Oryctolagus cuniculus: one gene and its partner. The protein of the gene in region 1 purifies or fractionates together with the protein of each later gene. This does not show direct contact. Links are inferred from orthologs where the notes say so. Each region holds a gene or a part of one and is shown in the gene's direction. Other genes may lie near its edges.

Region 1 (3,956 bases):
CAGCCAGGGGTGAACGCCCCGGGGACTCCAAACAGCACACCCTTCTTGCCCTTAAACAGCTCCGCCAGGTTCACTTTGTTCCCCGGCTCCCCTTCAAACACCTCCACGGCGGGCAGGGCGTCCCCCACCTAGGGAGGAGGTCGGGGTAAGTGGGGAGAAGCCGGGCGGGGCAGCCACCCAGAGCGGAGGGAGAGAGACGTTCCCAAGGAGCCGGAGGGCGGGGTGACTCCAGGACACGGTCCCGCCCAGCAGGAAAGTCCAGTCCCATCAGTTTCCAACGGTTCCTGCCTGGCCCTCACCCCCTCCCCACCTGGCTACCCCCACCCTCCAGGTCCCAAGGTGGCCCTGCTCCTTCGAAGGGCCCACGGGTGACAACGGAGAAAGGGGGAGGCTCCCCCAGTGTGGCCGTGGGTCGCAGGAAAGGGTGGGCTAAGAGCAGAGCGCTGTATTTGGGGGTGGAGAGGAGGCCCCAGCAGGCAGGGCCAGGACCCCAGCCAGGCCTCAGTGTCTTGCCCTCGGCTGCCCGCGGGCGGGAAAGCTACCGGGGGTGTGGATAAGAAAGGAAGTGTGCCTGGGAGTGTGTGCGGGCGTCCAGGGCCCAGAAGAGGTGGACAGAGGGGAGCAAGAGTCCCCCCGCGTCTCAGGGGCCCTCAGGACAGGGGCTGGGGCTGGGTCCCGAAGACGCGTGGAGGACGCCGGCAGAGGGGTGGGCATCGGCCCTGGAGGGGGCCTGGGGCACCACTGGGCTCTCGGCCAAGGCGGGGTGCGGGGGGCCCAGCACCATCGCAAAGGCGTGGGGGACACGAGGAGGGGAGGCCCTGGGGCAACGGAGATGGCTTGGGGGGGAGGCCATGGCGTCAGCTCCCCCAGAACGGCGCGGCGCCGCAGGCTCGGGGCGGTCCCAGGCGACTGGACACCAGGCCCCTGGAACCCGCGAGAGCAGCGGGCAGCCAGGGGTCGGGAGAGGGGACGAAGCGCAGGTGGCAGGGACTCCAGGGCGGCGGCGGGGAGGCGGGGAGGGGTCTCCGAGGGAACCCAAGGGAAGGAAAGGCGGCGACACCCCAGACGAGCGTGCCGGGGGCGCCCTTGGGAAGCCGGGGGCCGGGGACGGTCACCTTGATCGGAGCCATGACTACGGCAGCGCCGCTGAAACTGCGGGTTCCACAGAGCGCACGCCCCGCTCCAAGTCGCCGTCTTGCAGCCGCCGCCGCTGCACTCTCGCGGACGACCGCACCCGAGAGCACCGAGCCCACCCGGTGTCCCAGGACGCGCAGCCCGGCCAGTCCCATGCCCTCTCACGGCCGCAGCAGCCCCGCCCCTCAGCGGGGGGCGGGGGGGGGCGGGCCCGTGACCACGTGACCGCGATGGTCGGGGCACCTGCTGCGCCCCGCCCCCGGCGAGCCGCCTCCACCGCGCAGGCGTGGGCTTCCGGGACGCCAGGCTCATTTGCATTGGGGCGGGGCTTCGCTCATCGGCACTTGAGGAGGCGTGGCTTACGGGCGGGGAGACGCCGTGTGAGGAACGCGTGGAGGAGCCACACGCGTGCAGCAGCCGCACCGGCGCGCACTCGCATCCCTTGTTCGACGCGCGCCTCGCCAGCGCGTGACCCGCCCGGGTCTGCCACACACCGCCTGTTCCGGCGAACGCGGGAAGTGCCCGCACGTTCGCCATTTCCGGCCCGCCGGGGCAGCCCCGGAAGTGGCGCGAGCGGAGCGGCTGGTGTTCCGGTTCCGGCCTGGCAAGCGCGCCGGCGGCGACATGAAGCTGCTCACCCACAACCTGCTGAGCTCCCACGTGCGGGGGGTGGGGCCCCGCGGCTTCCCCCTGCGCCTGCAGGTAGGGGCAGGGGCGGCCTCCGGCCCCGGTGCGCGGCTCCCGCCCCCGCGCGACTGACGCTCTCTGCCCCGCAGGCCACCGAGGTGCGCATCAACCCTGTGGAGTTCAACCCCACCTTCGTGGCGCGGATGATCCCCAAAGTGGAGTGGGCGGCGCTCCTGGAGGCGGCCAACACCGTGAGGCCCCCGGCCGCGCCGCGCGGACCCCGGGGGTGGGGGGCCGAGGCCGGGGGCGGCGAGCGGGGGCTGACGCCGGCTTCTCGCCCGCAGCTGCACCTGGCGGAGGTGCCCAAGGAGCCGGTGGAGGGCTACGAGTGCGACGAGGCGTTTCTGCGCAAGATGCACCACGTGCTGCTGGAGGTGACAGCCCGCGCGCGCGCCCCCGCCCCGCCCCGCCCCGCGCCCTCCCGCTCAGCCGCGCCTCCCGCCCGCAGGTGGAGGTGCTGGAGGGCACGCTGCAGTGCCCGGAGTCCGGACGGCTGTTCCCCATCAGCCGCGGGATCCCCAACATGCTGCTGAGCGACGAGGAGACCGAGAGCTGACCGCCGCCCCCGCCCGCGCCGCCCCGCCCGCGCCCTCCCGCTCAGCCGCGCCTCCCGCCCGCAGGTGGAGGTGCTGGAGGGCACGCTGCAGTGCCCGGAGTCCGGACGGCTGTTCCCCATCAGCCGCGGGATCCCCAACATGCTGCTGAGCGACGAGGAGACCGAGAGCTGACCGCCGCCCCCGCCCCGCCCCGCCCGCGCGGCCCCTCCCCCAGCGACACACTGCACACGCGGTGGTTTGCGCTCCGTAGTATATATATATTTTTTCTCATTAAAGGTTCAAAACCAAAAGCGGTTTCTCTTTGCAGCAAATATACATTAAAATAGAGTCTCTGTACAGCCGCGGGCTCTGGGCCCCGGCCTGCCCCAGGTCCCTGCGCCTCCCTGGCCAAACCCAAAAATAAATATAGTGTTATTGCTCTGCAGGGCACAGAGGCGGTGCTGTCCCTGCCCCCTGAGGAGGCGCAGGAGCTGGGGGGAGGGGGGCCTGGCCACCCCAGGGGTCCAGGGGCTGGAGCCTGCTTGGAGTTATTGCTTCAAGGGGGGCACGAAGGCCCAATGCAGATGAGGAGGAGAGGAGCGAGGGGGCAGGGCCTTCGCTCTCCGCGGGCCCCTCTGCTCAGGAGAGGGTGGACTAAGCAGCAGCAGAAGCGTCACCCGCCGGGAGCCTGTGGCCTCCATGCCCTTCCCTCCCTGAGGTCAGCATCTGCCCCCCCGCGGCCCCCTATGGCTTCCGCAAGGCCCCCTCGGCTCTGGGGGCTCGTTATGGCTTGCAAGGGCAGCACTGCCCAAAGCCTGGGCGCACACGTTCCCAGCTTGCGACACCCCCTCGGAGGGGGAGGGGAGGGCGTGGGGCCTGCTCCCAGGGGCTGGTGGCATTGCCCCGGCCCTGCCAGCAGGCTGCGGCACTGCCCAGACCCCAGCTCTGCCCCTGGGGCGACCTGAGCCGGCAGGGCCCGCCAGCGCCCGCCAGCGCCCGCCGTGCCGCCCCTGGCCTCAGTCCATCATGGCCTCGAGCATCTCCAGGAACAGCTTGTGCATGGGCACCTTGCCCTCCAGCTTCACCCCGTAGAAGTGGGCCAGCACTTTGCCCGCGGTCTGGCGGAGGAGCGGGAGCGTGAGCAGCAGCCTGCCGGCCCGCCGCCGCTCGGCGCCGCCTCCCGGGCCAGCCCGGCCGGCTTCGTACTCCAGCAGGGCCTCGTGCAGGGCTTCTCGGAGCTGCTCCACGGCCTCGGCGTCCTCGATGTGGACAGAGTCTGCAAGGAGAGGGGACAGCTGAGGCCCGGGCGGGCCGAGGAGGAGCCAGACATCTCTCACGGCTGCTCCTGAGCCGGGCACCCCAGCCACCTCCTGTCTCCCCCACTGAACTCGACACACGGCTCAGAACCCTGTGTCACTGCAAGGCCTGCCTTGGCGTGTTCTGTGACTGAGCAAGTCACCATGGCTCCATAAGCCTCGGATCCCTCTGCTGCAGACTGGGACTGTGCCGCCACCCGCATACCACCGGAGGAAGGGGCTGGCGCTGTGGCACAGCGGGTAAAGCCACCGCCTGCAGCGCTGGCATCCAGTGTGGGTGCCT
Region 2 (5,332 bases), about 92 Mb from region 1:
AATCTGCAGAAAAAAAGAATCAACCACAAAACTGAGGGATTGCTGGTGTTTAATTATGGACACAGGGAAGGTAGCACAAATTCTGACAGCAAGTGATCAAGATGTGTAAAGAGAACTAAAAGAGAACAGTTTCCCAGAGGCTTAGAAATTTAAAAGTTTTGGGGCCAGTGCTGTGGCATAGCAGATAAAGCTGCCACTTGCAGTGCCCGCATCCCATACGGGTGCTGGTTTGAGTCCTGGCTGCTCCACTTCCAATGCAGCTCTCTGCTATGGCCTGAGAAAACAGTAGAAGATGGCCCAAGTCCTTGGGCTCCTGAACTCATATAGGAGACCCAGGAGAAGCTCCTGGCTCCTGGCACTTGGCTTTAGCCTGGTCCAGCCCCAGCCATTATGGCCATTTGGGGAGTGAACCAGTGGATGGAAGACCTCTTTCTCTCTCTCTGTGTCTGCCTCTCTGTAACTCTGCTTTCAAATAAACAAATAAATCTCAGAAAAGAAATTCAAAAGTTTTGAAAGCTTCAGTACCTTCAAGTAGGCCAGATACTAAGGTGAAAGTACGGAATTCGGCCATTGGGAAGTGGGATACTTTACACTGTTCAGTTTGGTATCAAATAGCCACATACAGCTATTTAAGCTAATTACAACTAAATAAAAATTTAAAAATTTGCGATTCAGTTTCTTAGTTGTACTAGCCACATTTGCAATGTCCAAAAGCCATCCAACACAAGTGTCTACCATACCAGACAGCTCAGATTATAAAATGTTTTGATAATTGCAGGAAGTACTATTGGGATGCTTTTGAACGCATCCAGTAGTGCACAAGCAAGACTGCAATGGGGGGCATTCAATGTGTTTTTCCTTACACATCTCCCAGGTCTTTTATTTCTGGTCTGTTACTAGATCTTTCCCCCTTCTATCTGCCATTTCTGTGTCTCAGTTAACATTTCCTTCCTTTTTTTTTTAAGATTTATTTGAAAGTGTTAGAGAGAGAGAGATCTTCCACCCGCTGGTTCACTCCCCAGATGGCCACCACAGTCGGAGCTGCGCCGATCCAAAGCCAGGATCCAGGAGCTTTGTCTGACCTGGGATCCCACGGGGTGCAGAGGCCCAAGGACCTGGGCCATCCTCTACTGCTTTCCCAGGCCACAGCAGAGAGCTGGATGGAAAGTGGAGCAGCTGGGACTAGAACCGGCTCCCATATGGGAAGCCGGCGCTTCAGGCCAGGGAGTTCAGCCGCCGCGCCACAGCGCCGGCCCCTCCTTCCTTTTCACTTTACCATGTGAACGGCTCTTTTCTTCTAGTCTCCCCTCCCACTATCAAATAGAAGCTCTGGTTATATCACTTTGTTTCTCGAATCTTTCTGGGACCCCCTTAGCCCTAGAAAATAGAACAGTGTTAGGTCATGGACGGTGTGGAGGCACCCTCTCTTTTTACCTCCTTCAACATCTCCCATGCATCTTCCTAACACTCTAGGGTACTCACGTTCCCCCGGCACATTCACGCGCATGCACCTTCCTTCCAGCTCGCACAATGTCCTCTTTCAGCCCCCAGCATCCTCTCCATACCTCCAAGAAGATACAGGAGGAAAGATATGCTGAGAGATCAAGGCGGGGTGAGACCCAAGGAGACAAACTTGTTTGACCTTTTTCCATTTGGGGAGCGCTGAAAAAAATAAGCCGCATTCTAAAACATTACTATGCCCCCAAATAAGAAGCGATTTACACGGTAACGGAGAGCAAAGACATTCGGCGAAGAAAGGGTCAACAGAGAGCTCCGGGGACCGAAGGGAATTGTGGGAGCTCCGTTCGTCGCCCCGTCGACTCATGGGAAATGTAGTGCGGTTGCTTCCAATATGGCCGCGCCCAGGTGAGTTGGTGTGCGAGTTTCTGCGGCGGGTTCATGGGCTAAAGTGAAGAGGTTGGAGGGAAGCAGTGCCCGCGCGGGAAAAATCTGGCTTAAGCCGAGGCGGAGGAGTGTGGCACTTCTTGCTGGAGAGCACTTTGGGCTGCAATGCCTTTTCCTCTTCCTCTTGTTACCTTCTTTCAGTCTTTTCTATCCGCTTGGCCGGTGGGGGCTGACAGCCCAGGGAAAGGAGGGGGGACCCGAGCAGTGCGGCCCGTGGGCAGTAGGGTGCCTGTGCGTTGGGTGGTTTTGTCAGTGTCCAAGGTGTATATGTTTGTGTTTGGCACGGATGCCCACGTGGGTCTGTGGTCTTAGTCTAGCGCTTCTAGGGCTTTTCTGACTGGACCAGCGTCAGTCCAGTGAAGCAAAGGCGTCGCTGGTGGCCTGATGTCCCACAGGGCTGTGTCTTCCTGTGCTCTTATTTGAGTAATCCCTGTGACTCCTGGGCGTCCCGTGGTGTTGGCTGGTTTTTTGTTTTAATTTTTATTAATATACAGAATGTTATTCTATTGAACATATATATATATATATATTTACAGAGTTAGATAGTGAGAGAGAGAGACAGAGAGAAAGGTCTTCCTTCTGTTGGTTCACCCCCCAAATGGCCACTACGGCTGGCTCACCGCGCTGATCTGAAGCCAGGAGCCAGGTGCTTCTCCTGGTCTCCAATGCGGGTGCAGGGCCAAGCACTTGGGCCATCCTCCACTGCCTTCCCAGCCCAAAGCAGAGAGCTGGACTGGAAGAGGAGCAACCAGGACAGAATCCGGCGCCCCAACTGGGACTAGAACCTGGGGTGCCGTCGCCTCAGGTGGAGGATTAGCCTAGCGAGCCGCGGCACCGGCCCTGAACATATTTTTTGTCAGCTGTAACCCAGGCACTCAATTCTGTGCCCTTACTAAGTACGTGACATGAAGCAGGTAATTACAGTGTGAGAGAGAACTTTGGACAGACGCACTGAGTGTCGATGAAAACACCTCAGAATTCTGGAGGAGGAGAGGCTTAGGAACCAAGTTGGCAGATTTCAGACAGAATTCAGAAGACAATTGAGTGGCTGCCATGTGCCAGATTCTGTTTAGTTGCTGACTGCTACGTGGTGAGTTACACATAGAAAATCCCAACTTCATGGAGCATAGTCTCTGTTAGGGTATAGGAGCAAGAGAGAATAAACAAATTAGCCAGAGTGTAAGGAACTAGACAGTTTGTGCTCTTTTTTTTTTTTTTAAAGATTTATTTTATTTATTTGAAAGACAGAGTTACAGAGAGAGATAGAGACAGAGAGAGACATCTTCCATCCGCTGGTTCACTCCCCAGATGGCCACAACAGCTGGAGCTGTGCTGATCTGAAGCCAGGAGCCAGGAGCTTCTTCCGGGTCTCCCATGTGGGTGCAGGGGCCCAAGGACTTGGGCCATCTTCCACTGCTATCCCAGGCCACAGCACAGAGTTGGATAGGAAGAGGAGCAGCTGGGACTAGAACTGGTGCCCATAGGGGATGCCAGTACTCAGGCCAAGGCTTTAACCCGCTGCACCACAGCGCCAGTCCCAGTTTGTGCTCTTTCAAGAGTTAAAATGAAATGATATGATTAGTGAGGGGTGTATTATTTTCCCCATCATTAAAAATCTTTATTTCATTTAAAAATAGATAATTTAAATGAATATATACTGAATTAAAAAAATGTCAAACAGGAAAGCTCCCTCTCATTCCTGGACTTACCTACCCAATTTGCCTCTGTGGAATCACCCCATGTCACCAGTTTCTTTTGTGTTCTAATGATTTTTATGTACAATGTATATACTTGTGCTATACTTTAAAATCTGGCTTCATTTGATAAGAGTTTAGGTTTTCTAATTTTGCTATTAATGAAGTATAATTTAAGCACACAAGCACTTTTTTTTTTCTATGCTTCCAGGGTCATAATAAGTGCTGTGTTGTTCAAGAAAGGCATGACACACACAGGGAAATATGCAGTAGGATGCATTAGGGTTAAACTTCCTAACAAGCAGGTAGCAGAGTATGCATAATCTTCAAAGGGTCATCCCACAGGGAATTTTCTTGGTCTGGAAGCAGCTGGACTACACTAAGCATGGCTAGTATCCTAGTAAATAGGGACCCTACTCCCATAACATGGCATGGAACATCCAAGCGTCTGTGCAATAGAGGAAGCTCCCTGGTCAGGGTTATGGCTTTCTTAGAAAGGGAGCACCTCCAGATCTCAACAGCTGGTACCAGCCTGTTCCTTGTTGAGGTGACTCAGATCTGCTGAGCCATGGCTGTCAAGCCACTGGACTGGAGGAAAAATGAGTCTCAAATAGTATCCTGCTTTGTCTTTCAAATGCAATGATGTTGCAGGGCAGAGTGCAGGAGACAGGAGAGAGGATAACAGAAATGTGGTTTTGAGGCTCCATCTGCTGGTGCTGAACTCTTGGTAGCTGACTTATGAAAGATTGTCAGCATCTTTTCTGACATTTTTTTCATTTTGTGATCTTTGCTCATGTGAGATATTAATAAAATTATTTTGTGCACCCTCATGCCTCGTTATCCATGATATGCTGTCAAGTTGCTGTTCCAAAGATGGAGATCTTAAAGCGGAATGAAGGTCCTCAGCTGGACTTCATCTTGTTAAACAGTTCTGATATAGCTCTTCTAAAAATGAACAGTAATATAGTAATAAATGAATTTAATCCTCCATAACAAAATGATGAGAGGCATTATTATTATTATCCTTGCCTCTGTTTACAGATGAAGAAAGTGAAACACAGAAATACATGGCTAACTGTCATACAGTTAATGGTTCATGGAGCTGAAATTTGAACCTGGACTCCAGCCACTGTGTTATACTGGCTCATGGCAGTGAATGAGTGTCTGGAGTAACTAGGAAAAGTATGCTTTAATCCCTGTCTTTGAAGACCTCATCGTCCAGTGGAACAAGGTGGATACTAGAAAAAATAATTATATTTAGTGCAATATTAGCAACATCCATTCAGTTATCCGTTTCCTATACATTGTTGGCTTAAAAAAAAAAAAACATTTATTTACTTAAGGCAGAGTTACAGAGGAAGAGGGGGAGAAAGAGAGAAAATCTTCCATCCGCTGGTTTACTCTCCAGATGGCCGCAATAACCAGGGCTGGGCTGGGAGCTTCATCCAGGTTTCATGTGAGCAGCAGGGACCCAAGTGCTTGGGCCATCTTCCATTGCTTTCCCAGGCCATTAGCAGGGAGCTGGATCAGAAGTGGAGCAGCCAGGACTCAAACTGGTGCCCATATAGGATGCTGGCAGCTTTGCCCACTATGCTATCACAGCAATGGTCCCACAGTGTTGATTCTTCTTCTTCTTCTTCTTTTTTTTAAGATTTACATTTTATTTCTTTGAAAGACAGAGTTACAGAGAGAGGTAGAGACAGAGATCTTCCATCCACTGGTTCACTCCCCAG

The links.
Region 2: the proteins of TRMT112 (region 1) and ALKBH8 purify together in Homo sapiens (co-immunoprecipitation; 3 studies listed by IntAct, with this or other methods). This does not show direct contact. The link is inferred for Oryctolagus cuniculus from reciprocal best matches to the Homo sapiens genes TRMT112 and ALKBH8.

Annotation. Positions count from the first base shown.
Region 1 is NC_091432.1:7,010,343-7,014,298, forward strand, and holds TRMT112 (multifunctional methyltransferase subunit TRM112-like protein), read left to right. Parts: upstream 1-1,463; 5' UTR 1,464-1,758; coding exon 1,759-1,836; intron 1,837-1,910; coding exon 1,911-2,012; intron 2,013-2,105; coding exon 2,106-2,195; intron 2,196-2,269; coding exon 2,270-2,377; 3' UTR 2,378-2,441; coding exon of another isoform or gene 2,442-2,549; 3' UTR 2,550-2,668; downstream 2,669-3,956. Other genes in the region: PRDX5 (peroxiredoxin-5, mitochondrial), read right to left, coding at 1-128, 1,116-1,289; ESRRA (steroid hormone receptor ERR1), read right to left, coding at 3,374-3,633. UniProt on the Homo sapiens protein: Acts as an activator of both rRNA/tRNA and protein methyltransferases. Together with methyltransferase BUD23, methylates the N(7) position of a guanine in 18S rRNA.
Region 2 is NC_091432.1:99,375,167-99,380,498, reverse strand, and holds the start of ALKBH8 (alkylated DNA repair protein alkB homolog 8), read left to right. Parts: upstream 1-1,729; 5' UTR 1,730-1,852; coding exon 1,853-1,866; intron 1,867-4,640; exon of another isoform or gene 4,641-4,830; intron 4,831-5,332.